5 linked regions of the Xenopus tropicalis genome follow. The protein of the gene in region 3 purifies or fractionates together with the protein of the main gene of each other region. This does not show direct contact. Links are inferred from orthologs where the notes say so. Each region holds a gene or a part of one and is shown on either strand. Other genes may lie near its edges. The genes, in order: mtmr10, sbf2, mtmr2, sbf1 and mtmr12.

Region 1 (6,089 bases), on a different chromosome or scaffold from region 3:
ACCACATCACTAGGAAGGGCATTCCCCAACCCCCTCACTGCCCTCACCGTGAAAAACCACCTACGCTGCTTCAAATGGAAGCTCCTTTCCTCTAATCTAAAGGGGTGACCTCTGGTGCGTTGATTGTTTTTATGGGAAAAAAGAATGTTGACTGTTTTTTCCTAAAAGTCTTGTTTCTCTACATAAATCCTACTGAAAATCCTGAACCCGACTGTCTGGCAACCCGACTGTAGCTTTTCAATCTGTCAAAAGGACTATGTCATAAACTGGGAAGATTCAGCTTGCCGTTTGGTTCAAAGAGTTCCCCCTCCGTTCCTCCCTCCCTCGCATAGCATTGCATGGTGTTGTGAACTAGATAGCAGGCAGGCTTGATCTTTCTATTGCCTGCCTACTTCAAAGGGCTGTGCCCCCTCTCTGCTCTTCCCACAAAGAATTAAATAGCAGGCCAGCTTAAGTTTTCCCGTGCTTGCTTGCCTGCCTGCTTCTAAGGGCTCTCCCTCCCTGCTTCTAAGGGCTCTCCCTCCCCTTCCCCATTACACATAGACAACGGAGCTGAGCTTGTCACACACCGACTGAAAGCAGAATGGGCATTGCAGGTTTGTGATTGGGTATATTTATTCACTTGGGAGGCATTTAAATTAAAACCCGGAAGAGGGGAACAAACATGACAGCTCCGTGGGTCTGTAATTCATGCTACCATAATTATGAAGCGAAAACACTTTGCAGATTTAGTTTATAAGGAATTTAAAGCTGATACAAATGAAAACACAACAGCAGGTGTAAAAAAAAAAAAAAAAAATTAAGTGGCTGTCAATATCACTTTAAATCAGATTAAAGCCACTTACACTTCATGCAAGAGGTAAGAAACCTTTACCATCACTCTTGCAGTTTAGAACTACAAATCCCACCATCTCCCTTAACACATATGCAAATTGCAAAAAACTGGTTACAACCAACCATGCATTTCACATCTTAGCACCCTGCCTAGAACTTTGCAGAACAGGCCACAGAGACTTACACTTCAGAGTGAAGCCTAAAGACCTGCACTACCCCCCATAAATATTTCAGTACCAGCATTCAACAGCACTGTAATTATGAGAAAAGGGCTGAGGAAGGAATATAGGTGCCCCCATTCCACCTGCTTGTCATGTACAAGTTAGTAAATGCCAGTGGGCAAAAGGTGCAAACTAACTGCATTGTTTTGACAACATGGATTTATCCTAGTTATCATCAACTACAAGGGACTTATTATTTGTTATTTAAATAGGGTACACCAGAGCTTCAGAGCTTTAGGATGACAAGTTTTTTGATAACCACTTGCCTTTAACGCAATTCAGGTTCAATGCTAAGTCATGGTTGGCTCACTCCAAGTAGGAAGAAATATTTTTTTTCAAGACTCAGATATACCCACTCTAGCAATCTTCTTTGTCTATGACATACCCACTCTAGCAATCATCTTTGCCGTGGATATACCCACTCTAGCAATCTTCTTTGCCTTGGATATACCAACTCCTTTCCTAGGAATGCAAATCAATGCCTTGGGCACGGTCAGATTAGTAATGTGTCTCACTGTGGTGTCTGCTAGAATGGCCCGATTCACTATTCTGCGTATGCCTGAGGCTGATTTGCATGCAGGGGATCGGAAGAGGATTGTATTCACTGAAGCATTCAGAGCCCCCTTTTTGCATGGAAATAAAGTTGGCTTTTAGAACAAGAGTGCAAGTGCCCCTAGCCCAATCACTGGGACAAGCTGTACACCATGTTAGATACTTTTCAAACTTCTTTCCAATTCACTACATAAGGGATAAGGGATTTCAATCAGTAGCTAAATTAGAAATATGTCAATCTGCTGTAACATATTATATAGACCGATATCTATATATATATATCCTGCCAAATGCAGCATCACACCTTGCTCATCACACCTTGCTATAAAGAACAACATATATTCCAGTCACTGCACAGGTTCAACTGCTAGGCTTAAAATAAGGCAAACCACGTGCATTTTATTTAGCACCCTTACTGCTAACAGCAGAGTGCTGTACAATAAACAGGGGTATACGTCAATTCGAAATGCACTATAAGAGTAAAAAAGGAGCCCTGCTCAATAAAGCTTGTAATCTAAAAGGAGAAAGGGTATGGCACCCAAAGTGGAGTTATGGGACACAAAGCATGAGACATTACTTAGCTTTATACAAGCCAAGAAAACTTTCACAATCTGAGTGTAACATTGCCATTGGGATGTAAAAGTGCCAGTCTTTGTGGGTAGCTTTTTTTATAATACCCCCCTCCCCCACATTGATCCCTAGGAGGCAAAGTTAGGGGGGTTGCAAAATGAAGAGAACATGCCATGCCTTCTCTCCAGCAGAGATGCCTGCCCTCACATTCCAGTTGAATGAATGGGGCAGCACAAATGTCAGCCCTTTTCTGCATGGTGCATCAGCTTGTATTAACCCTGCCGTAATGCTTGATACATAAAGCCGCCAATAAAAGAATAAATCAATTTAATTACAATTGCCCTTAAGATATAATGATGTTTATAGCGACTGATTAACATATTATTATGTAATTTATTGGCAAATACCTTTTAAGCAAATAATTAGCACATATTTATAGTGTGTTCTCCAAATAGTTGTTAAAACAATTGAAACCAACACCATGCTTCCAAACTTCTGAACTACATGTCCCAGCATTCTTATGTAGACAAAGTGCTAGAGGTTGGGCACCTCTGTGCCATATTAGCGTGCCATCAATCCGCTACATCTCACTGATAATCACTTACCTGGCAGAAGGACAGGTTTCAACTTTTTTATCTTTGTCTCTGGATTTAGTTTGTCTTCTTGCTGCAAAAATTTGATAAAGAAATCAAACTTAATGTGGGTGCAAACATACATGCAGGCAGGTGTGTGTGCACCCCAAGAAACCTGACACCCCAGTTCTTGTGTTTGTAAACTACAACTCCCAAATCTTGATACTGAAAACCCACACTAAGCAGCCACAGGTTGCCAATCAGAGGCTGGGATGCACGGATCTCTATACCCTGCCAGGGATGTCACGTCAGAATAACAGCAGCCCAATTGCAACTCTGCTTCAACTCCCAGAATCCTCAGCCAGCCTGGTGGGAGTTGCAGCAATGAGACGGCAACGGGCTTAAAATCCAGAACTACACAGATGTGTAACGCCTGACTAGCCACTCACCTGAGGGGGCAGAAGGTAGGATTTAAAGGAAGGTTTGGGTTGCCTGAGAGAGAACATTGCTGAGCCACAAGTAGTATGGTTCCGTAGCCCAGAGAACTGGAAGCCCGAAGCCAGCTGGAACAGAAAGCACACAGGGCAGCTCCTCTCCTGAGCCCTGGGTTTCAGTGCAGTCCCTCCAGCACTCGTCCAGCCTCCTTCATGACTGGGCTTTTCTGGCTTTTGTTGCGTCTCAGGGCAGACATTTCCCCGTGTGAGAGTCTCTCCCACACGCACTGAGTATTTGCATTGATTTCCTGTGAGCCTGTCCCCCTTCTCTTTCCCTGGATGTGCACATGTGCAGAACTGCTGCTCTCCTGCTTGTGCTTATGGAGTTGTGCAGCGCCATCTGCTGACCGAATAATGCATTGCTGCGGCTGCCTTGCATTTCCTCCACATCCCTTCCTTGTTCATTCCACCTCAGGTTGTTTTGTTTGTGCCTATGCTCTTCAGAGGAGTCTTATAAAAGAATAATAACTCCAATTATATTTTGTTACTTCAATTTCCGTTTACTACTACACTTTTAAAAGATTGCGCCCCTGGTTCTCAACTAGACTTGCCTCCTGGCAGGTATTTTATCGGCCTGTCTGGTAAAAATGGCGCTTGAGCCCAAACTTATAAAGAGGGCAGAAAGAAAAAACGATAGGAAGGGCGGTATTTTTTTTTCTAGAAAAGTTGGCAACCCTATTCTCAACTATTTCGGGTTTCTTTTTTTGCAAACAATGGAAGACAATTTTGCTTTATGGGATTTTATATATGGTCCCTGCATCAGACGCACTAAACCACAATACACATCTATTCCCCTTTATATGAATAGCTCATAAACAGTTACTGTACTGTTGCTTGGAATGCCTGTGACTGGCTTAACAATGAGAGTGAAAGCAGTTTAAAGAGGCAATGCAAACAGAGGCACAGTACTTAGGGCAGTGGCACATGGGGAAATTGCTCACCCACAGTTAATTCTTGGCTATGGAGGGCAAGTAATCTCTCCAAAATTCCTTTCCACTGAAAATAAAGTGAATTGCCAATAGGAAGGCTTACAGGTGTTTGGTTTTCCGAAGTTGCCTGTAATTCCCTGCTCAGGATTTAGTAACCAGCCCGAAAGCATTGGATTATATGAGAATCTTATTTTCTGCATGCTGATTTGTACTGACCCTAAACCTAGCTTTTCAACAGCTACTCAGAGCACACTGAACATGCGCAGCATCACTGACATCCCTAACAAAATACAAGATCCTATGCACAACGTTAAAGGCCTAGATCATTACTATTATAGAAATGATGAATGTTTAGGCTTGTGCACCAAGTTCAGTATATAAACGATGGTGTTTCTAGCCATATTCATTGTGAGCTTAATTCCCCTTTAAAAAAAGCAAAAAGTTAAAATAGTACCAAGATGGAGGCTGTTACTCCTTATATCTTCTGAATTTTTTGGCAAAGAGGTTTCATTATGTATGCTAAACCCCTTTTTAGTGGGGTTGGAGCAGTAATGCAATACATTTCTTGCAAGATTTAAGCCAGAATAAAGGGTCTCACAGGAAGGATCTTTGCTGTAGCCCATTAGTATCTTAAAATGGCCTTGTAAGAATGGAGTCCACCTAACAGGATACTGCTTTAGGGCTTGTAAGAAGGGAGTCCACCTAACAGGATACTGCTTTAGGGTTCTAACCACCCTGTTCTGAGCACCCAAACACTAGATTAAGTTAAAGTAAGTAAAATATATATGCAAAAGCCTTTTTAAAGAGATACGGACACCAGAAATGAAACCATTTTTACATCTATCATTACATTGCCTTTGCATGCTATTTATAATTTTGCCATAAAAGTATTTGCCTGATGCTTTTACATTCCCTATCTGATCCCCCATGTTCCCCTATGAGGGGGCGGCCATATTTGTCCAGCAGGAGTCTGTTAGCGTTAGAAGCTATAACTGACAGGCTGAGAAGGGACAGTCAGGTTGGCAAAACAGTCAGGTTTTGGGATTTCAATAACAATTACTTACAAAAGCAGCCCTATCAGTAAAAAATTATCAACATGACCTATAGGCAACTTTTTATGTAGATTTATATTTTAAAAAGTTGTTTTTTCGTGTCAGTATCACTTTAACATTTGAATATCTAATACAGAAAACTAGCCACATTATTACGAGCCAGTATTATGGCTGCAACGTAAGTGAATCCTTGGATAGCAACAGACAGATTTTTGTGGGGAGAATGGATTCTTTTGGGTGGCATGGCACACTGTTGTTACACCTCTGATCTCCAATGAGGGCATGTCCTTTCTGTTGTAAACCAGACAACAGACTGTTAACAGTAAATCTAAAAACATAATTTGTTTAAGGAGTTCTTTAAATGTAAGGTTTTTATCCAAATATAAATTTCACACAGTAAGAGCAGGAGTAAAAAGGGATAACATTTATTCATTAAAAACATGTGTCTCGGCAAACTAGTATTCCAACACATTTAGGAATCATTCTCATTCTCTAGTCCTATTTGAAATTTTTAAAGGGGAACTAACATAAAAAAATTTTTTCATAATATTGAAAATATAAAGTTTAGACAAACATTTTGACAATTTATAGCTTTCAAAAGTTTTGCACCGTTTCAAAGTTATGGCTAATTATTAAAGCAGCATCCCATCCCCCATCCTCCAGAATCTCTGGTTCCCTGGTCTGCGCAGACATGTTTGAGTGACAGAACAGAGTGAAAGCTGATTTGTTGTGGCATGTCATGAGGCCACACCTCTCAACAGCAAACATATGCAAAGGGAAAGTAAAGGAATGGAGCCAGGCTGGGCGCTTTATTTGTACATATAACAGTAAAGCAGCTTATTGTTTATATCCTTTATGCCCACAT
Region 2 (6,109 bases), on a different chromosome or scaffold from region 3:
CCATCTATCTAAGCACGCTATCTATCTATTATCTATCTATATATCAATCTAAGCGCTCTATCTATCGATCATCTGTCTCTCTATCTATCTATTCTATGTGTCTATCTAGAGCACCTTAAACACTTAGCTTTATGCCAACTTGCTAATGTCCTTTTCCCACTGCTGTTGGTCTGTTCCAGGCTCAATTCTATTCTTCTCTGTAATTATGTCCTGTAGGAACCCGGGCTGAACCAGCAACTGTGCCAGCGTTCTGCCTAACCCATAAACTATCCATCCCTCTATCATCTATCTAAGTGCTCTCTCTCTATCCATCTATCATCTATCTATCTATCGTCAGTCTAAGTGCTCTATCTATCATCTATCTATCTATCGTCAGTCTAAGTGCTCTATCTATCATCTATCTATCTAAGGGCTCTATCTATCATCTATCTAAGTGCTATATCTATCATCTATCTATCTAAGTGCTCTATCTATCATCTATCTATCTACGGGCTCTATCTATCTATCAGTCTAAGTGCTCTATCTATCATCTATCTATCAATCTCTCTATCATCTATCTATCTATCTATTTATCATCTATCAGTCTAAGTGCTCTATGTATCATCTATCTAAGGGCTCTATCTATCTATCTATCTATCTATCTATCTATCTATCTATCTATCTATCTATCATCTATCTATATAAGTGCTCTATCATCTATCTATCTATCCATCTAAGTGCGCTATCATCTATCTACCTGTCATGTGTCTATCTATCTATCCCCCGGTGGGAATCAGTGCCTGTAATACCCCCTGACAGTGCCAGCACCCAGCACCGAGCCCCGGTGGGAATCAATGCCCCTATAACCCCCTGACAGTGCTAGCACCCAGCACCCTCAGCCCTGGGGGGAATCAGAGCCCCTGTAATACCCCCTGACAGTGCCAGCACCCTCAGCCCTGGGGGGAATCAGTGCCACTCATACCCCCTGACAGTGCCAGCACCCAGCACCCTCAGCCCTGGGGGGAATCAGTGCCCCTGTAATACCCCATGACAGTGCCAGCACCCTCAGCCCCGGTGGGAATCAATGCCCCTAATACCCCCTGACAGTGCCAGCACCCTCAGCCCCGGTGGGAATCAGTGCCCCTCATACTCCCTAAAAGTGCCAGCACCCTCAGCCCCAGTGGGAATCAATGCCCCTAATACCCCCTGACAGTGCCAGCACCCTCAGCCCCGGTGGGAATCAGTGCCCATCATACCCACTGACAGTGCCAGCACCCTGAGCCCCGGTGGGAATCAGTGCCTGTAATACCCCCTGACAGTGCCAGCACCCAGCACCCTCAGCCCTGGGGGGAATCAGTGCCCCTGTAATACCCCCTGACAGTGCCAGCACCCTCAGCCCTGGGGGGAATCAGTGCCCCTCATACCCCTTGACAGTGCCAGCACCCTCAGCCTCGGTGGGAATCAGTGCCCCTCATACCCCCTGACAGTGCCAGCACCCGGCACCCTCAGCCCTGGGGGGAATCAGTGCCCCTGTAATACCCCCTGACAGTGCCAGCACCCAGTACCCTCAGCCCTGGGGGGAATCAGTGCCCCTGTAATACCCCCTGACAGTGCCAGCACCCAGTACCCTCGGTGGGAATCAGTGCCCCTCATACCCCCTGACAGTGCCAGCACCCTCAGCCCTGGGGGGAATCAGTGCCCCTGTAATACCCCCTGACAGTGCCAGCACCCAGTACCCTCAGCCCTGGGGGGAATCAGTGTCCCTGTAATACCCCCTGACAGTGCCAGCACCCAGTACCCTCGGTGGGAATCAGTGCCCCTCATACCCCCTGACAGTGCCAGCACCCTCAGCCCTGGGGGGAATCAGTGCCCCTGTAATACCCCCTGACAGTGCCAGCACCCTCAGCCCTGGGGGGAATCAGTGCCCCTCATACCCCCTGACAGTGCCAGCACCCTCAGCCCTGGGGGGAATCAGTGCCCCTCATACCCCCTGACAGTGCCAGCACCCTCAGCCCTGGGGGGAATCAGTGCCCCTCATACCCCCTGACAGTGCCAGCACAGAGCACACTAAGCCTTGAAGGAAGAGAAAGCTCGGCCCCGCCCCCTCCTGGGAATCTCCCCAGTGCGCCTGCGCGCCGCTCAGCTTTCCCTGCGCCCAAACATGGCCGAGCTGCTGCGGCCAAGATGCTGAGGTTTTCCGCTGGAAGGGAGGAAAGAGCGCAGCCATGGCTAGGCTGGCCGACTACTTCATTGTGGTGGGTTACGACCATGAAAAGACTGGTAAGTGCGATGGCGCCCTGCGGGCGAAACACTGGGAATATTGCCCTGGGCACTGGGGTAGGAGGGGGATGCTGGCAGCCTGGACACCCCTACACTTCTGCACATGCAAACACCCCCCCGTACCCAGTGCATGGCGTGGCACATACCATGTTATACAAATAGGGGTGCGGGGGATGGGGTGCATGGCCTACTGCCTGTGTCCCCCCCCCCCCCTGTGCCCCAGTGTTTAGCAAGTTGGGATTGTGTCCCTCCACCCCTCATGTCACATCCTGAGTGACGCACAGGGGGATGTCCTCTCCCAGCACAACACTGGGCCAAGCCTTCTGCTGTGTATCTGTGTGGGGGGATGCAGCCTGGCATTGCCCCCAACATTCACCCCTGCCTGCCGCAGGGAAAGGGTTAATTGGGCTACACTCCCAGGGAAGCAAAGGGTTAATTGGGCTACACTCCCAGGGAAGCAAAGGGTTAATTGGGCTACACTCCCAGGGAAGCAAGGGGTTAATTTTGCTACACTCTCAGGGAAGCAAAGGGTTAATTTTGCTACACTCCCAGGGAAGCAAGGGGTTTCCCACTCTGCACCCCAATATTAAGGAAGGGTCGCTCAGTCTGCACCCCCACATGAGGGAAGTGTTACCCACAATGCTCTTCTAACATAGGGAAGGGTGGTCTCCCCTCAGAACAGCTATTGGAGGGGAAAGGTTGGCCGCTCTGCACCCCCACTGGAGGGAAAGGTTGGCCACTCCGCACCCCCACTGGAGGGGAAAGGTTGGCCGCTCTGCACCCCCACTGGAGGGAAAGGTTGGCCGCTCCGCACCCCCACTGGAGGGAAAGGTTGGCCGCTCTGCACCCCCACTGGAGGGAAAGGTTGGCCGCTCCGCACCCCCACTGGAGGGAAAGCTTGGCCACTCCGCACCCCCTCTGGAGGGAAAGCTTGGCCACTCCGCACCCCCACTGTAGGGGAAAGTTTGGCCACTCCGCACCCCCACTGGAGGGAAAGCTTGGCCACTCCGCACCCCCACTGTAGGGGAAAGTTTGGCCACTCCGCACCCCCACTGGAGGGAAAGCTTGGCCACTCCGCACCCCCACTGTAGGGGAAAGTTTGGCCACTCCGCACCCCCACTATAGGGGAAAGTTTGGCCACTCCGCACCCCCACTGGAAGGAAAGCTTGGCCACTCCGCACCCCCACTGGAGGGAAAGCTTGGCCACTCTGCACCCCCACTGTAGGGGAAAGTTTGGCCACTCCGCACCCCCACTGGAGGGAAAGTTTGGCCACTCCGCACCCCCACTGTAGGGGAAAGTTTGGCCACTCAGCACCCCCACTGGAGGGAAAGCTTGGCCACTCTGCACCCTCACTGGAGGGAAAGCTTGGCCACTCCGCACCCTCACTGGAGGGAAAGCTTGGCCACTCCGCACCCCCACTGGAGGGAAAGCTTGGCCACTCCGCACCCCCACTGTAGGGGAAAGGTTGGCCACTCTGCACCCACACTGTAGGGGAAAGGTTGGCCACTCTGCACCCCTTGCTGGCAGCTGCCCTGTATAGGAAGCCACCATTTCTGCGCACCTGCCTGCAGGCCCAGGGTTATTATCTTTGAAAGAAAATGTGTAATAATTGCACATTGTGCAAAGACACCTGTATAACCTGTTCCTACTGTGTTTTGGTTGTGGAGAAAGAGAGGTGTGTGTCAGGAAAGGATGCTCAGTGATGCCTGCGGCTGCCAGTGGCTTATGGGAGTTGTAGTTCAGTAACAGCTGGAAAGAAGCAGAGAGGTGAATATGTTCTGGTATCCGTCCCAGTTTGGCAAGAAGATGCTCTGGGGCAGTACCGGGCCTATGTACTGTGTATATGCAATAACCTTACACAGGAAACCGAAACAGAAAAAGGGAACACATTCCGCTCAAGTGCAGATAATCTATTTATTCCTAGGGCTCAGCTTCCAATGTATTCTTCTTTTAGGAACAGAATAATCTGCACAGAACATTCCTTCCCTGCCAGATTGCATGGCTTCATTTGCGTAGGGGGCAGCCATATTGCTCTGCCAGCTGAAGAAACCTCCGCAGGCTGTAACGGAACAGCCACCGTGCTGCTGCCATGTACATGGGGCTTTGTAGTTTCCATTGAAAGAGTGTAGGCCTCGAGCTATAATGTGGGTTCTGCTCATTTGCAGAGAAGGAACATCTCGTGCAGATCGTACCAACGCTTTAACTTTACAACCCCTGAAAACGAGCAATGAATGGAAGCTTCCTTTTAATTGGGCAGTGCTTTACTTCCCCTTTAAATTCCCTCACCCTGATTATTGGCCGTATCTTTGTGTTGGATCAGCTGGTCGGATCCCACTTCTGGATCAGAGAGAGAAATAATCTGGGAACAAAGCTGCCCATTATATCATATAATATATAATTATATTTCCGCTCGTTATGTTTGTCAGACAGGGAGTGGAAGTTGCCTGTGGGGCCTAAAGGGGTTGTTTACCTTTAAATTAACTTTGAGTATTATGTATGAGTAATATTGTGAGAAAGTTTGCAATTGGTCTTCATTTTTTTTTATTATTTGTGGTTTTTGAGCATCTTATTTAGCAGCTTTCCAGCAATCTGGTTGTCAGGGCCCACATTTTCCAAGCAACCATGCATTGATTTCAATGAAAGACTGGAATACAAATTGGTCTTCATTATTTATTTTTTATATTCTTTTAATTATTTGCCGTGTTCTTCTGATTCTATTTAGGTTTCCAATGAAGAGGGTCGCTGACCCCAGCAGCCAAAAAACTATTGCTCTGTGAGGCTACAATTTTATTGTTATTGTTACTTTTTATTACTTATTTTTCTATTCAGCTCCTCTCCTATTCATATTCCCGTCTCTCATTCGAACCACTCCCTGGTTGCTAAGGTCATTTGAACCCTAGCAACTAGATAACTGCTGGAGTTCCAGACTGGCAAGTTCCGGAACAAAAAGTGAAATACATTTATGGACTTACTGGCAAACTTGGAGCTTTCTAAACCCGTCGTGTGGTGCCGTAGCTTTGGGCTGATCCATTGCCGCAGTATAGTAAGTATAGTATGGCAACTCCCGCTCAGTGCTGCTTTCTGCATACCCAAAATAGACCTTAGCGCAACACCTTGCGAGGCATTAGTCTTGATGCGTGTTGCTTCTCTCCATCATTTACGCCCACATCCGAGCATCTCGCTGCTTCACGTGGAAGTGTCGGGCAAGGTGGTGTATGATGTTGCCATGGAGATGTGTCGGGGAAACGTCGTCGGCCCATAATTAGCAGAAATACCTAAGTAATACGTTCTGTTCCGGCAGCAGCCAGGTTGAAGGCTCGTTTAGCTGCCAGTTTTGTGAGTAAATATGGTATGTGAATATCCACTGGGCTGCGCTCGCCACTTTGGGCGCGTGAAAGCGGCTCTAAACAGAAACAATTCGATACATTAGTGTCGGAAATACTAGCAACGAATGTATCCAATTGTAACTTCTATATAACTACTTCCACTGTTGCTGGGGACCTGTTAGCCTAGCAACCACTCAGTGCTTTGAATGGCAGACTGGCCGAATCCCAAAATAGTGGATTTGGTGCATCCCTAGTAATAATATAAAGACTGGCTTGAGTTAAAGTACAGGTATGGGATCCCTTATCCAGAAACCTGTTATCCAGAAATTATCCGAATTATGGAAAGGCTGTCTCCCATAGACTCCATTATAAGCAAATAATTTTCATTATTAAAGATGATTTCCTTTTTCTCTGTAATAATAAAACAGTACCTGTACTTGATCCCAACTAAGATATAATTACCCCTTATTGGGGGCAGAACAGCCCTATTGGGTTTATTTAATGGTTAAATGATTGCCTTTTC
Region 3 (5,803 bases):
ATGTGATAGGGACCTTAGATTGTAAGCTCCACTGGGGCAGGGGCTGATGGGAATGTGATAGGGACCTTAGACTGTAAGCTCCACTGGGGCAGGGGCTGATGGGAATGTGATAGGGACCTTAGACTGTAAGCTCCACTGGGGCAGGGACTGATGGGAATGTGATAGGGGCCTTAGATTGTAAGCTCCACTGGGGCAGGGACTGATGGGAATGTGATAGGGACCTTAGATTGTAATCTCCACTGGGGCAGGGACTGATGGGAATGTGATAGGGACCTTAGATTGTAATCTCCACTGGGGCAGGGGCTGATGGGAATGTGATAGGGACCTTAGATTGTAATATCCACTGGGGCAGGGGCTGATGGGAATGGGATAGGGACTTTAGACTGTAAGTTCACTGGGGCAGGGGCTGATGGGAATGTCATAGGGGCCTTAGATTGTAAGCTCCACTGGGGCAGGGACTGATGGGAATGTGATAGGGGCCTTAGATTGTAAGCTCACTGGGGCAGGGGCTGATGGGAATGTGATAGGGGCCTTAGATTGTAAGTTCACTGGGGCAGGGGCTGATGGGAATGTGATAGGGACCTTAGATTGTAAGTTCCACTGGGGCAGGGACTGATGGGAATGTGATAGGGGCCTTAGATTGTAAGCTCACTGGGGCAGGGGCTGATGGGAATGTGATAGGGGCCTTAGATTGTAAGTTCACTGGGGCAGGGGCTGATGGGAATGTGATAGGGACCTTAGATTGTAAGCTCCACTGGGGCAGGGACTGATGGGAATGGGATAGGGACCTTAGATTGTAAGCTCCACTGGGGCAGGGACTGATGGGAATGTGATAGGGACCTTAGATTGTAAGTTCCACTGGGGCAGGGACTGATGGGAATGTGATAGGGCCCTTAGATTGTAAGCTCACTGGGGCAGGGACTGATGGGAATGTGATAGGGCCCTTAGATTGTAAGCTCACTGGGGCAGGGACTGATGGGAATGGGATAGGGACCTTAGATTGTAAGCTCACTGGGGCAGGGGCTGATGGGAATGGGATAGGGGCCTTAGATTGTAAGCTCACTGGGGCAGGGACTGATGGGAATGGGATAGGGACCTTAGACTGTAAGCTCACTGGGGCAGGGACTGATGGGAATGGGATAGGGACCTTAGATTGTAAGCTCACTGGGGCAGGGACTGATGCATAATCTCTGTAAAGCGCTGAGGAATATGTTGGTATATAAATAAAGGATAATAAAAATAATATGTGCTTCTCATTCTCTCCCAGCCTAACGAGATGCCCTAATTAACAGGGTGTGGAGTAAAAACCACAGGTTTGGTGGTTCTGTCAGACACAAGAGATAACAGACAAACACACCCAAACATGCTTACATACACGCACACGTTTATTTGGAATGGCGCAAATGTGCCCGTGTTTGGGTGTGCCCGTCATGTGTTATCTGTTTGCCTGGGTAATGAGCAAACCTGGGGCAGAATTACACAGTATGGCAGCTCCTCGCAGGATAGAATGTTAGCAGCACAGGAGCCAAACAGGGGCGGAGCTTATCAGAACCAACCAAATGGGGAGGAGCTTATCAGAACCAACAAAATGGGGAGGAGCTTATCAGAACCAACCAAATGGGGAGGAGCTTATCAGAACCAGCCAAATTGGGAGGTGCTTATCAGAACCAGCCAAACGGGGGAGAACTTTTCAGAACCAGCCAAATGGGGGAGGAGCTTATCAGAACCAGCCAAATGGGGGAGGAGCTTATCAGAACCAGAGAAGAGAAAGGGATAAACAAACACTGCTTTCAGGAGCAGGTATTTTTACAATTAACTTTATTTTCTTTCATTAGGTAAAAAACAGGTTTTAGGTGGGGTTCCCCTTCATCTACAGAAATATAATATATTTGTGGATGGAAAGATGCTTCAGGCTGAGGATAGAAAGCCAAACTGATCAGCTGATTCTTGCAGCGTTTCCCTTTTTCATTAACTGGGATAATCAGCAGTTTTATCACAAGCTTTGTTTTATTGTGCTTCCCTATTGGTGTATCGACACGCAATATTAGCACTCAGTGCTGCGTTACTCTATAGCAACAGCAAGTAACCCCTCAGTGACTGCTAATATCCTTATCATTTACAGTAGGGGGTACATTATCCCTTATAATACATGAGTGATACTCAGAGTTCCCTGTATAACTCAGCCTGCAGCCTTGTGCCTTTATATGGGCACAGAACCCCTCAGTGACTGCTAATATCCTTATCATTTACAGTAGGGGGTACATTATCCCTTATAATACATGAGTGATACTCAGAGTTCCCCGTATAACTCAGCCTGCAGCCTTCTGCGGATTTATTTTTCTAATTTTATTGCTATATTTATGTCATTATAACAATATATAACACAACAGGTTCCAGACCTCCGACCTGGTTAGGGAGAGACCACACCAGAACCACAGGTTCCACAAGTGGAAAGGAAATCTGCACACAGGGTATTGTTCTTTTAAAGGACAAGGAAACCCAGAGTCACTGGGGAAGGGGGGGTGCCAGCATGTGGAGGAGGGGGCCCTCCCCTGATGGGTCTGGATAAGCCCCTGGGAATAGGACTAGATCAGCCTGATTTGGGCTAGCACCCGGCTGGCCTCACCCACCAAACAAGCAGTCCTTCCCCGTGTATGGGCAGCTTTTAGCCGAACCAACTTGGCCAATGTTCTGCCGACAGTTGCACTTCAATAAATGAGCTGCCCTTTATACCCCAGCGCCTCATTAACTGCTACAGGGAAACTAATGGAATATAATTATATTTACGTTCCCAACACAAGAGGATTCTGGGTGTGACTGGCATCTCACTATTTATCCTTACACAACAATACACTTGTATGTATATTATCATTATACACCTATATATACATTATATATCATTATACACATACACTTGTACATACACATTATAACAATACACTTGTATGTATATTATCATTATACACCTATATATACATTATATATCATTATACACATACACTTGTACACACACATTATAACAATACACTTGTATTCTGCCCCCCTGGGGAGCCAGCTGCACAGATGTCTGTACCCCCAGCTGTTGCTTCACTGGCTGGGCAATGCCGTGACCTGTCTCTTACTGACAGCTGGGCAGCGGGCACTCACACAGGCTATAAATCACCCCTAACTGTAATGAAGAAGTCAAAGCTAAGTACTGATTGGCTGGGTTCAACCCCCCCCATTAGTTTATAACAGGATATGTACTATACTGACTCATGCCTATAGCAAATCTTACCCAGACTGGTGTTTAGCTGCTTGCCCCTGCCCCAATAACAGCTTTGGGCACCCCAACCCCCTCTCTGGGGTACAGTAGAGCAGATCAATAACAGTTAGAGGCCCCTGACTGCCCCAATTACAAGTCAAATAATGTCTGGAGGATGTTGAGAGTTGTAGTACAACAACTGGAGGGCTGCAGGCTGGGCATCCCACATCCCTACATTGCCAGGGGCCCTCCATGTTTGCAGAAAAGGCAGGATCTGTTGCGGAACTACAACTCCCAGTATCTTCTCTAAGTTTGTGTTTGTAGTTCCTTGTGTAACAGAGCCCCAGCTGTACCCTGATCCGCAATATGAGAGAGAAGCCAACTGTGCCCAACTCTGCCCCAGGCAGGAAGGTACCATTACTGTTATTATTATTGTTATTGGTGCGGAAACAATCAGTGAGACCCCGGTGCCTGAGATTTAGCGGAACTACAACTCCCACAATCCCACCGCAAGGATTTCCCATTCGGGAGATACTGGGGGTTGTAGTGCAGCAACAGGTTGGCGATTCCTGACCCAGAGCTCTAACCCGCTCAGCTTCTACTCGTCTTACAGCGCAACCCACTCCCCGGCCCCGCACTCCCGAGTCCTTACTCACCCGGCTGATAGATCGGGGGGCGCTTCTTCCCGCACCCCAAGATATTTTCTGCACTTCGGGATCGCGATACCAGCAGCGCATGCGCACGGCCAGCACTAGCGGCAACAGCGACACCTACAGGCGGAGCATAGGCGCAACCTGCCCAGGGCGGGGCTTAACCATGGGCCGGAGCAGTCCCTCCCACATTATAGGGCAGGTGTCACAGTTTTGTCCCGTCTGTGGCACAGGGGCGCTTGTGCTATGGCGTAATGGGAGAACTAGTCCGCAGGCGGCAATAATATAAATACAAGCCACTCATTCCAAGAAGGGGGACAGGAGAGGGGTAGGAATGGGGTTACTGAGCGGTCTCAGGTGGCTAAATAAGCCGAGGCTCAGATGCTACCAGTGTGGGACTGAGATGCCAGAGGCCAACAGGAAACCTTTTATTATTATTCCCACTTGCCCATTGTAATTCCTCCTTTGCTCATTTAGTCTCTTTAGTATCTCTTTCTTCTCATACAGGAATAGGGAATGCCCAAGAAATAGGCCCCCGGGAGTTTTCCTGTGTCCCCCATGGGCCAACTCTGGTAAATAGAAGCAGGAGGGCCCACTGACACCCGGGCCCACTTGGCGTTTCCCTGGTATCCTGGTGGGCCAGTCCCAGGGCCGCCATCGGGGGGACATCCCGGGCCGGGCGATTTTACCATTAAAGGGTTAATCAATTCCGGGCTCCTGTCATTGGTCAGCAATAATCCTGTTGGGCGCGCCCAGTGCATACATTTTACGTCAGTACACAAGGGGTGCAACCGTATAAAAGTGAGAATGCAGCGGGGGAGCCTGGGGACACAGCCGTACGAAGCAGGAGGAAGCTGTAGGACACGGGGAGTTGGAGGATGCTGAGAAGGACACTGGGTGAGTTGGAGGATGCTGAGAAGGACACTGGGTGAGTTGGAGGATGCTGAGAAGGACACTGGGTGAGTTGGAGGAAGCTGTAGGACACGGGGAGTTGGAGGATGCTGAGAAGGACACTGGGTGAGTTGGAGGATGCTGAGAAGGACATTGGGTGAGTTGGAGGATGCTGGGGGGCGGAGCTGGAGGGCGCTGGGGGGAAAGTTGGAGAACACGAGGGGGGGGAGCTGGAGGACGCTGGGGGGAAAGTTGGAGAACACGAGGGGGGGGGGAGCTGGAGGACGCTGGGGGGAAAGTTGGAGAACACAAGGGGGGGTGAGTTGGAGGATGCTGGAGGGAAAGTTGGAGAACACGGGGTGGGGGAGTTGGAGGACGCTGGGAGGAGAGTTGGAGGATGCTGGGAGGAGAGTTGGAGGATGCTGGGGGAGGGGAGGAGCTGGAGGATTCTACGGAGGGAGCTGGAGGATGCTGGGGGAGAAATATATATATATATATAGATGCTGTATTGTTATGTGCACCCTGATATTCTGCAGCTGCTCTCCTGCCTTCATCTGCGCCAAGAGGAACACTATAAAGGGAAACTCCACCTGTTTCTATGTATAACTCCACCATGTTTCTATGTATAATAAATAAAATGTCATTTTTTGTTTCCAGTTGGACATTTAAATTATTTATGCTCTGCCTTCTGTAACCCCATATTTACAGTGCTACCTGGCTGTCTGGGCCATTCTGCAGCCACATTTGTTATTATTCCCATTATCTCCTATTCCTTTTTTGGTCTTTCATTCTAACTGACCAGCCACCCAGCCGGTATTTCATTCGCCTAGCCAGTAAAATACCATGTAAAGCAAGTGCCGCTATTACTGTAAAGTATTACAAATGTATTCTGCCCCTTTGCATCATCAGCCAACCCCTTCCCATAATCACCCAGTACCTCTTTATGTCACTGGACCACCCCTTTATGTGATTGGCCGCCCTGCTGGTATTCAAGTGGCAGCCCACATGCATTGTTACT
Region 4 (6,048 bases), on a different chromosome or scaffold from region 3:
AATTTTAATATACAAATTGGCATATAGCTTCTCTTTAGTATTCAGACGAATCCTTTGGCAAAGGTTCCATATCAAGCTAAATACAAAAACTATTGATTTGGCACAACCCTATTATATTTTGTTTATAGAGACTTAACATATCTCAGAACAATTTACAGAGATTGTAGGAGTTAAGGTCTCGTGTAGGGGCAGAACCGAGGGGCCTGGCCAACCGATATCTGGCCTGAAATTGGGCAGATATCGATCGGCCAGGTAAGAAAATCCAGTCGGATCGGGGACCACATTGGATCGTTGATGCAGTCCCCGAAACGACTGCCCCATTGCTGCGCGTAGAATTCGATCGTTTGGCCCCAGGGCCAAACGATCTAATTCGCCTACATGCCTCCCCAATATCACCCACCCGTAGGTGGGGATATCGGGTGAAGATCCACTCGCTTGGCGACATCACCAAGTGTATGGCCAGCTTTACTGTGTGACCACAACTCCAATTGAGGCAAAAATTTGCTGCAATTGTTTTTTTTGAAAAATTCCATTAACTAAGATAATAAATGTCCAAACCCACTGCTTGCACTTTGGCATAATTGCACACAGCACCCCTGCCTTAATCTCCAATGTTGTTATGAATTAAGCACAAGTGATGCAGGGAAACCCTAGAGCCACTAAGCCAATAAAATCAAAGCGTACTGCCTGCATAATTGCTACTATACAGCAAAAACATCTGCAAGACTCTCTTTAGCAAGTACTGAATACAGTGGTGTCTGTTACATCCCTTGCTCATAATAAGCACTGACATGTAGATATATGTTACATTTCAGAATGTTCTAGACTAAACTGGGACTGTTCTCTTAAAAATTGCATTTAACAACATATTACACATACACAGTGACCATGCCCCCCAGAGCAGTATCCCTACACACTTTAAAGGTAATCAAACAAGCAAAAAGTATCTGCACGCTCAGAAAAAGTAAATGCAAAAAGATAATGCATTAATTAAACATAGCCCATTGTGTTTCAACCCAGTAAAGGGTCTTCATCAGGGGAAAAATTAAAAAGGGGGCATTTTTTGCCCCTCATGAAGACCCTTTATTGGGTTGCAACGTGTTGGGCTATGTTTCTTATGATGCGATTTTGTAATTAATACATTTTCTTTTTGCATTTACTTTTTCTGAGTGTGCAGATACTTTTTGCTCTTTTGATTATGTTTGGAGTTACTAAATGGGTTTTCTCCAGTGTCTTTGCACTTCTATTATATATCACAAGGTGTGTGCTCTTACATTTTGCAATACACCCTTTAAAGGAACTGTAACAACAACAAAAATTAGAAATTGTTTTAAAGGACATGTCAACTAAAAAAATAATGTTTTGCCTAATAAAAGAAAACAATTACAAGAAACTTTCAATGTGAAATTATTGAAAAGTCTTAGTGCTTTAAAATTTATTTGTATATGTAATTGCTACTGAAAGTAGCATTTGCTGAACTCCTGGTTGTTAATTTTTCAGCAATGTTGCAAAGGTCAGTCTCCTCCAGTAAGACAGGCCTGTCAGTCTGCTGCCTTGTGTTACATTGTTTCAAATACCAGAGCCACCAGGGCAGAGAATAGAAAAGGGCTGGCAAACACTACTACTAATAGCAATTATAAATACAAATAAGTCAAAAACCATTACAAATGTATAAATGTGTATTGCAAAGTTGCTTAGAATTATGTTTTCTTTTAATAGGCAAAAAAAATCATATTTTGACTTGTCCTTTAAAATAATTAAGCTATAATGTACTGCTGCCCCGCACTGGTAAAAGTGTTGTGTTTTCCTCAGAAAGACTACTATAGTATATATAAACAAGATTACTGTGTAGCCTTGGGGGTAGCTATTCAAATTGAAAAAAAGGAGAAAAATAAGGCACAGGTTACATAGCAGATACAAGAATAACACATCTTATCTGTTTTCTATGTAACATATGCCTTTTCTCCTTTTTTCAATCTGAATAACTACCCCCCCGACTACAGAGTAGCTATGATTATAAAACTATGATTAGCAAACACAAATTTTACCAGTGCAGGGCATTAGTACGTTATATATTTAGTACTTTGATAGACTTTCAATTTTTGTGTTACTGTTCCCTTAACTCAACATAGTTAAAAACAAAGATAACACAAACAGTGAAACAGTACAATATATGCCTTTCAATGATGATGATGATAGATTGGATAAAAACAAGAAAACAAACGAGAGAAGCACACTCTCTTTAGTGAAGTAATAACTACCTGAGCACAATAGACAGAGCTTGAATTCTGTTTACTCTCTTAATACATTCATTAGTCATATATCCACTGAAAGGACAGTACAATATAATGTTCAATACATTCACAAAATGTTAATAGCTGAATCTCTAGATTAAAAAAAACTAAAAAAACTTTACAGGACTCAGTGGAAGGAGCAAAATATAAGGTCTATCTGTATGTGGTTGCAGATTTAGCCATTTTTTGACCTGGCACACTGATTATTGCTTCTTGTATGGGACCAAAATGATGGCCTCACCAATAGAGATCTGGTCAGGGTAATTAATCAGGGTGGAAAATCCTATTAGTTGAGGACCACATCGAGTTAAATATACATTTCTCTTCCAACTGGTCTGAACCAGGTCCCGTGTAATCGGAGGTCTTCATGGCCAAATGGCAACATTACCATACAAGTGGATCTTATTTTATATGGAAGATGGTATATATTGGCCACTGTTCAGGAGGAAAACAGTCTGCCGATGCTTCCCACAAAGATATATAGGGGAAACATGTTGCCTAGATGCGGCATCACCTCTCCTCAGAGCATTTTACAGGCAGTTGTTTTAAATTAATAGCTAGAGCTGCATGTTATAAGGAAAAGCAACGGAACTATGTGGTGTAAATAATGATGGTGATAATACATTTACATTGTTCCCTTAGCACTTTTTAAGAAACAATGTATAACCCTCCCAACTATCAATCAAATATTCCATTAGGCTACTGATGGCTGCAGTAGGTTATTCACTGGGGAGCCACAAATGAAAGCTGTATGGAGCAGCCCATCAAAGCTGCGGCTTAATGTTACCCTGAGCCACCCCAGCTATAGCTGGAATACAAGTGTCACCCTTTCTGTCGTTCAATAGTTATTCCACATTCATTTATTTCACCACATCCACAGAAATGAATCGGCCCCTGTAGAATAGCCCGTCCACACCCACTGCTTCCACCATTTCCCACGTACATATTCAGTACAGACCCACAACAAGCACTGCCTCTGAGTAACCCCCAATCACCCGCAGCTCTGTTTAGCGAATGCGGCCACGTTCGGCCCTCATGCGGCTTTTAAGATATATATCCCGTAATTCTATACCGGGCACTGAATGAATAAGAACGCAAACCACCATACGCATTCGGGCAAGATAAGAAGTCTGGGAGTGCGCATCCCTGCTTCCTTCTGACTAAATAGCTCACCCTCCACAGCTCCGGGTATTCAACCCCACCCCATTCTCACAAAAGATCAATTTTCTTAATACTCCTCAGGCCCGCCTCTCTCACCTCGTTTAGTCAGGTCATACCCCACCACCAGGAAGTAATCCGCTAGTCTCGCCATGTCACCCCGTTCCCCGGGCCGCTTCCTTAGCCCCGAACTCGTCCCGTGGCCGCCATGTTTCCTGCCAGCCGGGCCAGGGACTGCGCATGACCGAATCTGGGCAGGGTCGTGGGGTGGGGCTGAAGCGCTGGGCGGAGTCCTGCATTGGGTCAGGAGGAGGGCACGTTGGTTGATGCCAAGGAAGGATGATGTGCCCCGCGAAAATCTAAACGTTGTGCCCTCACGTGGGCGTAACAAACTGGCAAATGGGCCTTTGGCTTGTGTTTCTCTAGGTCGAAGGGCGGGACTATTTAACCATGTGTATCTTTACTGACAGCGGACTGTCTTCGTCCGCAGCGCTAGGTAAATAATATTAGTAGATAGGTACACTTATTAAGGTGTAAATATGTACACTTACTAACCAATGGCAAAGTATCACCTCTGTAAGGTGGTTAGACTAAAGTACAACTATAAGATCTTTATGCAGAAGCACTCTGAAAAATGTGCAAAAAGTGGTTCATTATTGACCCAAACAGGCCTTTTGCACATTCATAGTGCTTCTGTAGATAGATCTTTTGTGGCAGCATAGTAAATGGCTCACTCTTTATTTCTGTGTCCTTCCCCTGATCCCCCCCCCCCCCGAAAAAAGGGACTGCACGCCAATGAAAAAAATTGTTAAACACTGGAAACAGAATGTACTTAAAACATTCTGAGTACATCTGGCACTCCAAACCACTTAGAGTCTCTAACCTAGTGATCCCCAACCAGTGGCTAGTGAACAACATGTTGCTCACCAACCCCTTGGATGTTGCTCTCAGTGCCCCCAAACCAGGTAGTTATTTTTGAATTCCTGACTTGGTGTCAAGTTTTGGTTGAATACAAACAAGATTTACTACCAAATAAAGCCTCCTGTAAGCTGATAGTGTGCATAGAGACTCCCTCTTAGCCCTTAATTTGGCACCTCCATGAACTTTTATGATGCTATTGCTGCTCTCCAAGTCTTTTTACATTTGACTGTGGCTCACGATTAAGAATGGTTGGGGATCCCTGGTCTAAACTAACAATATTAATGTCCAAATCTAAAGGTGGTTTGGGTGTCCCAGATTTTCTTAAATATTATCAGGCTTCACAATTAGCAGCAATTCCCTTATTTCATGCCTCTTTACCACCTAAATGGGTTAACTTATCAAATTGCACGTAATGCTGTGTCCTGGGTTCCCTATGTCTCTAGGCCCGACAGTTTATCTTCAGTGTTGGAAAATACTCTCCAAATCTGGGACAATATAAAACACAACACAATCTTCTCACAGCTCTGCAGCCCCTATCATAGGAAATCCAGGATTTCTCCCAGGCATAGACAGAAGAGTATTTCAGTGGTGGGAGTTAAAGGGCCTTAACACTCTGAATAATATGTATGGACACTCTGGCCCTCTTAAAGGAGAAGGAAAGTCGTTTTGGCATTTTACTGCCAGTAGATTAGCCACATTAGTGCCACCTAGAATGCTATATTTATTCAGCAGAAAGCTGTACTATACCTGGGTAAAGAGCCCTAGAAGCTCCCTCTGATAGCAGCTGCCATTTTAGTTTGGTCTTGGTAGCTTCCTGCTGCAGTTATAGCCGTTGGAAGCTCATATCACACATTCCTAAGGGAGGGGGCAGGGAGTTCTTATGCAGTCTTATGGGAGGGGGGAGCAGGAGAAAGGAGGAGGAGAGGGAGAATGCCCCAAAGCTGAAAGCCCTAAAAAAGACCAAGTGTGATACTGAAGAACATGTTCAAAAAAAAGAAAACACAAAATCCTGTGTTTCTTTTGATAAAAACTGTTTCTGTGAGTGCTTATGGTTGTATTTACATAGACCTTTCTGATAAAGCTTACTTAGTTTTTACCTTTCCTTCTCCTTTAAATAGGAAAAGTTCCAACAAACCTACTCAGCTCACCTCCGGGAATAGTATAGATTCGTTCAGGTCTCCCATATTCTTAAATCAAAGCATGAAGGACAGGACACTCCTCTGTCTTCATATTTAGAAGCATGTACAACCTTTCCTTACTCTAAAGGGTTGTATCCTGCTCATACCATACTGAGATCAGAAATCTCATTTACTTCAACCCTTTCATATAAGCAGATATGAGAAAAGAAATTGTAATTCAGTAGCTCATTGCTCCATCAACACTTCATTATTGGAGTCTAGCTACAAGTCCCTACAGTGCATATAGCCCATTATGTTTTAGAGGATGTGGAGAAGAGGGTACAGCATACCACACATTGTGTCAATGCCCTAAGTTCAGAAGATTTTAGAGCAGAGTTTATGAGATGATATATTCAGTTACTGGCTATAACATCCACAAGTCGCCAGAACATGCATTACTAGGACATTTTGTCCTAAACATAAGCAAATCTACCAGGATTCTAATTTTGTTGGGTTGAAAAACCCAACCTACTGTTCTTCGACTTCAGCTTATTCTT
Region 5 (5,375 bases), on a different chromosome or scaffold from region 3:
CCATGGTATATCCATGCATGGACTGAGTTCTGGAGTGGAAAACAGATATTCTATATATATTAGCAAATACAGCCTACAGGAGTGTTTCAGCTAATTGCACCACCCTGAGCCTTCAGCTATCATCATTTTTCGGGGAGCAGGCACTCATTGAGCAATTCTTCAGGCAGAATTCTTCATTAAAATTAGTTTTATTGGACTACTTAATCACAAGCCTAAGATTACGTGTCTCTGAACATGAAAAATATAGGGCGATTGTTCATGGTATTCCAATAAAACTACTTGTAATGAAGAATTCTGCCTGAATTGCTCACTGAGTGTCTTCTCTTCAAAAAATAGTGATATTCATTTGTGACACTCCCTAGAATCTTTAAACTACTGATGCACTGCATTGGTTCTGCATCCTGTGCGTGTCTAGTTTTCAGGATCATGGGAATGTCACAACTGAAAACTGATTCCTTAGTGTTCAGCTGCACCAAATTTGTATCCTTAGACAGGATCAGACAGTGTATTTTTTTGTTTTGTTTAGTTCTTACCCAAAAAGGTCAACTTCCACTTTAAAGCTTTGGACAACCAAAGAATTTTTTTTAAAGATGAAGGAAAGTTACAATCACTGGGCGTATGTACTGTACCCCAGACTGGTGCAGTTTTCTCCTAGGACGAGCACCGGCCCGGGGTATCAGGTAAATGATTTTGGCACCCCCCAGTGATTGTACCTTTCCTTCTCCTTTAAAGGTATTTAGCCAACCCTTTTTTGAAGGATCTGGTATTAAGCTAAACCCCCCAAAATAATTCTGTGGTTCCCCCAACATGGCACCTCATATGGGAACAGGCTAAAAAAAAAAAGACACTGGAGCACATTTATAAACACTGGGCAAATTAGCACCTGGGCAATAACTTATAGCAACCAATCAGTGATTCGCTTTTCTTCACCAGCTGCAAATACAACCATGAAAGCAAACACTTGATTGGTTGCCATGGGTAACTGCCCAGTTGCAAATCTGCCTAGTGTTTATAAATGACCCTGACTCTGTTCACACAAAAATGGGGGATTATGAATGATCTTTTAAAGTTCATATTCCTCAAGAACAGGGATAAGGTCCACAGGCTAAAATACCTCCTACGAGCCCTGTGCCTCACAGCAATAAATTGATGCGCACTACCTGATGCGCATCAATGTGGCAAGTATCTATTTTAACATCTATCCGCTCAGTGTTCAATCTACCTTTCCGATACTTTGTAGCCCTCATTGGCAGTCAGTACTTTGTAATGCAAGTTGCCTTTAGTCCGCTCTAGCTCTGCCATCCAGTCCTTCACGGTCTCAAACATCAACGTCTTTTCCATAAAGGAAGTTACTACAAAAGGGCAGAAAATATAATAATTGTAAGGCCAAATGAGCTTCCTGTTTCTTGCATAATGAAATACATTAGCCTGCATCAACATAAAATAATTAACATACACTAACCTTTGTATCGTGGGACGGCTGCTGCGTATGAAAAAAGGAACAGCCGTTTCAGTAGCTTAGGGCTCTGAGTATGATGAATTATACCGCTCACAATCTGCAGGGGGGAAAAAACACACTTATTAATAAAAAGGCACACTCAGCAGGGTGCAAATCAACTTCACTGATGCTGGGATACATACCTAGTGCCATCCCTTACATTTTACACATGTATATTCATGTATTACATACGTACATATATATATATTATATAAGCTGGCCAACTACGTCAAAGTCTTCCCCGGTCTTGCCAGTCTTACACACGCTTTTATCTGATTCATTATGAATTTTACTGCTTGTATGTATGTATTTATTTATGAATGTATGTATGTATATCTTTATAAAGTGCCACTTATGTACGCAGTGCTGGGGGTTACTGCAATAATAGATAAATACAAAGTATGATAATAAACACAAATAAATACAAGTTATGGCTGCAATAAGTTAAGAATCAAAGAGACAACAGGTCCCTGTCCTGTTACAATCTAAATATACATTTAACAAAAATATTGAATTTTACCTGCAACTTGCTTGCTTTCAGGGTTAAAATCACCAAATGGCTGCCCTTTTATTGGCTTGTCAGGTGATCCCAGTGGAGCCAATAAAAGGGCAACCATTTGGGTGTTTTGGCCTTAAAAGCAAGTAAGTTGCAGGTAAAACTCAGTCCCTTTGCTAAATGTATATTGAAGCAGTAGAATTCTTAATGAATCAGATGAAAGCGAGTGTAAGACTGGCCAGACCGGGGGTGAGTGAGTGTAGGACTGGCCAGACCAGGGGGTGAGTGAGTGTAGGACTGGCCAGACCGGGGGTGAGTGAGTGTAGGACCGGCCAGACCGGGGATGAGCGAGTAGGACCGGCCAGATCGGGGGTGAGTGAGTGTAGGACCGGCCAGACCGGGGGTGAGTGAGTGTAGGACCGGCCAGACCGGGGGTGAGTGAGTGTAGGACCGGCCAGACCGGGGGTGAGTGAGTGTAGGACCGGCCAGACCGGGGGTGAGTGAGTGTAGGACCGGCCAGACCGGGGGTGAGTGAGTGTAGGACTGGCCAGACCGGGGGTGAGTGAGTGTAGGACCGGCCAGACCGGGGATGAGCGAGTAGGACCGGCCAGATCGGGGGTGAGTGTAGGACTGGCCAGACCGGGGGTGAGTGAGGGTAGGACTGGCCAGACCGGGGGTGAGTGAGTGTAGGACAGGCCAGACTGGGGGTGAGTGAGTGTAGGACTGGCCAGACCGGGGGTGAGTGAGTGTAGGACTGGCCAGACCGGGGTGACTGTGACACAGTTGGGCAGCTTGTATATATTGCAATATAGGGACAAACAATCCCTGTTTTGCTTAAAAGGGAGGGCATTGCTTAGTAGCTTAATGCACAGAATGACTTAACGCCCAAGAGAAGCTCTTGTTACTGTCTGTATATCACACTTCAAAAAGCTTCTTGATCTTGTTTTGCAAGATCAAGAAGCTTTTAGCTAGTTGATGGCTGACAAATGAATACGCTTCCTGTCTGGGTGCTACACAGAGCTGCTGCGGCTGTGATGCATCTGGGGTGGGAGGATTGCTGCTCATTTCCTTTTTCTCAGAACTTCCCCTGTAAACAAACTTTTGGTGCGCCGCAGAGTTTCATTTACTCCTACATGTGAACTCGTCGCATACCTTGATCAATTCACAAGGCCCGCAGAGCAGACAGAATAGGCCAAACCTCTAACCGCATAAACTTTCCCTTGGACAGAATTCTCAGGTTATGCACAAAAAAATACCTTATGTCTACGTTCATTGTACAGTACTCTGTTTCACTCTGTTAAAGGGAACATTACTACTGTTTTCACTTTCACACTGGCCAGTGATAATGTATATATAAAGGGAATAAAAAAAAACAATGCCACTTAAATTGTAGGGCTTTCCTAGCTTTAAACCGATGGCAGATTCTGCCTTGCTTTTATTGGTTCATTTATATTTTTATGTCCCGTAGGAATCCTCTCCAATCTTAAATCTCTCCATTCACTCTAAATAATGTGGTAAAACTCTCACAGACTTTGGTGCTGTAGTCAAGGTGGATGCCTGGTCTGGTCTGTAATTCAGGTGTGTTCAGAGCAAAGTAACGGCATTCTGTCTAAACCCATAAACACCCACTTCAGGGATCACAATGTGACACAATTGAACGTGCTGAACAGGCGACTAATCTCCCCGCAATGCCATCCCACCGGCTAGAATGTAAATCGGCGGTGGGATGGCATACACGTCACTGCAATGTCCCGCAGTTGCCCGAAGTTTCCTCTCAAGGCAACTTCGGGCGATTTACATTCTAGGCGGTGGGATGGCATTGCGAGGAGATTAGTCGCCCGCGACAACGAAGATTTATCGCGGGGCGACTAATCTCCCCGTGTACCCCTGCCCTTAAGGTGAGCCCCGGCAAAAGGTTGGACATCTAAGTGAGGCTTGAACTGGAAAAACACAAAGGACAACCCATTCTTTAGGTGAAGTTGATAAATTTGATGCAGCGTGATCAGAAGATCAGTGTGGGATTCACCAACATGCAGAGAAAGTTAGTCCCATAGCAGGAGAAGCAAATGCAGCAAATGTGGGGGAAGGGGGGCTATGCACTCATATAAAATAAAAGTTCCAGATAATCTTTACAAAGGGGGCAGAGTATTCATTCCACTAGCTGGCCATTTGGAAAGTCTAGAGAGAGCAGTACAGATCCTGTTGCTAAGGCAGTCAATGATCCTAGCAATGAGACAAGCTCTGCCAAAGTGATTATGTTGAGTATTTGAGGCAGTTTACATTCCCTCTACTGCTATGTGGGGTCAGCTCAGAAGGGGTGTAAATACTATACTATATTTCATCCTATTTCAGGACATCTAAAGCTCTGTTTTGTTTAGCCACAGCAGGCTGTTATTCTTCAGGCACAAATGAGCAGTGGTCTCCTGAGAATGTAAGACTGGCTGCTATATTTACCCTCTTGACTTCCTCTTGTTTAGTGTAGCTGAGGCAGAAATGAAACACACGGAAGTCCTTGCAATAGACGATGAGCCGTTCTGGGTATTTCTTCAAACCTTGCCCGGACAGAATAGCTTTCTTTTTATCATCATATACTGAAAAGGAAAATAAAATGCTATTACTGTTATACTTTATTCATATAACACCAACATATGATGTATAGTTTTACAAAGAACTTTTTCCATTCTCAATGGAGCAGGCAGTGTTCAATAGGCTAACCCCAGGTTGGCATCAGCCATTCTGGAAAGGCAGAACACAGTGGGGATAATTCATAAAGACAGGGCAGTAACCCATAGTAACTAATCAGTGGTGAGATTTTTCCATCCTACTGCAGGTTGAACACTGAAAACAATCATCTGATTGGTTGCCATGAATTACTGCTTAGGTGCAAATTTGCCCAACCTTTATGTTCTCCCGATATCCCCACCTAAGGGTGGGCAATATCAGGCTAATTCAGCCCATTAGAACGGCGGGTATAGGCCTGATCGAGAGCTGGCCGATTTCAGGTCAGATGTTAGTACCCATACAAGGGCCGATAAGCCTCCGAATGAGTCTAAAGGACATATATCGGCAGCTACAATCTGCCCGTGTATGGCCACCTTAAGAGTCTGACTAGTCGAATTTATATTAGAGCCCTGGCTCAGACTGCTTTTGCAACTGCAGCTTATCTTTCCTCCGCTGACGCTCCCAGCTTAATAATTAACTTGTGATTTGGTTGATTAATATTGCTTAATGAAACTTGAGATTCCAGGTAAAGATAGAAAAGGAACAACAAAGCAGATGACCTTGAAGGGTTTTTAGCGGTAGTGAATGCAACAAGTGGCCAACTGTGCAGAAAAGGCCAGTTACACCAGGCATTAGTGGATATGTTTTTTTCTGCTCTTG

The links.
Region 1: the proteins of mtmr2 (region 3) and mtmr10 purify together in Homo sapiens (affinity purification with mass spectrometry; 5 studies listed by BioGRID and IntAct, with this or other methods). This does not show direct contact. The link is inferred for Xenopus tropicalis from reciprocal best matches to the Homo sapiens genes MTMR2 and MTMR10.
Region 2: the proteins of mtmr2 (region 3) and sbf2 purify together in Homo sapiens (affinity purification with mass spectrometry; 3 studies listed by BioGRID and IntAct, with this or other methods). This does not show direct contact. The link is inferred for Xenopus tropicalis from reciprocal best matches to the Homo sapiens genes MTMR2 and SBF2.
Region 4: the proteins of mtmr2 (region 3) and sbf1 purify together in Homo sapiens (affinity purification with mass spectrometry; 6 studies listed by BioGRID and IntAct, with this or other methods). This does not show direct contact. The link is inferred for Xenopus tropicalis from reciprocal best matches to the Homo sapiens genes MTMR2 and SBF1.
Region 5: the proteins of mtmr2 (region 3) and mtmr12 purify together in Homo sapiens (affinity purification with mass spectrometry; 5 studies listed by BioGRID and IntAct, with this or other methods). This does not show direct contact. The link is inferred for Xenopus tropicalis from reciprocal best matches to the Homo sapiens genes MTMR2 and MTMR12.

What each region holds. Positions count from the first base shown.
Region 1 is NC_030679.2:96,951,681-96,957,769, reverse strand, and holds the start of mtmr10 (myotubularin-related protein 10), read right to left. Parts: upstream 3,557-6,089; 5' UTR 3,256-3,556; coding exon 3,199-3,255; intron 2,844-3,198; coding exon 2,783-2,843; intron 1-2,782.
Region 2 is NC_030680.2:7,292,710-7,298,818, reverse strand, and holds the start of sbf2 (myotubularin-related protein 13), read left to right. Parts: upstream 1-2,087; 5' UTR 2,088-2,204; coding exon 2,205-2,259; intron 2,260-6,109. UniProt on the Homo sapiens protein: Guanine nucleotide exchange factor (GEF) which activates RAB21 and possibly RAB28. Promotes the exchange of GDP to GTP, converting inactive GDP-bound Rab proteins into their active GTP-bound form.
Region 3 is NC_030678.2:164,724,260-164,730,062, forward strand, and holds the start of mtmr2 (myotubularin-related protein 2), read right to left. Parts: upstream 3,989-5,803; 5' UTR 3,901-3,988; intron 1-3,900. UniProt on the Homo sapiens protein: Lipid phosphatase that specifically dephosphorylates the D-3 position of phosphatidylinositol 3-phosphate and phosphatidylinositol 3,5-bisphosphate, generating phosphatidylinositol and phosphatidylinositol 5-phosphate.
Region 4 is NC_030679.2:89,325,583-89,331,630, forward strand, and holds the start of sbf1 (myotubularin-related protein 5), read right to left. Parts: upstream 3,673-6,048; 5' UTR 3,607-3,672; coding exon 3,552-3,606; intron 1-3,551. UniProt on the Homo sapiens protein: Acts as an adapter for the phosphatase MTMR2 to regulate MTMR2 catalytic activity and subcellular location. Promotes the exchange of GDP to GTP, converting inactive GDP-bound Rab proteins into their active GTP-bound form.
Region 5 is NC_030677.2:200,723,298-200,728,672, reverse strand, and holds part of mtmr12 (myotubularin-related protein 12), read right to left. Parts: intron 4,586-5,375; coding exon 4,449-4,585; intron 1,557-4,448; coding exon 1,463-1,556; intron 1,353-1,462; coding exon 1,223-1,352; intron 1-1,222. UniProt on the Homo sapiens protein: Acts as an adapter for the myotubularin-related phosphatases. Regulates phosphatase MTM1 protein stability and possibly its intracellular location. By stabilizing MTM1 protein levels, required for skeletal muscle maintenance but not for myogenesis.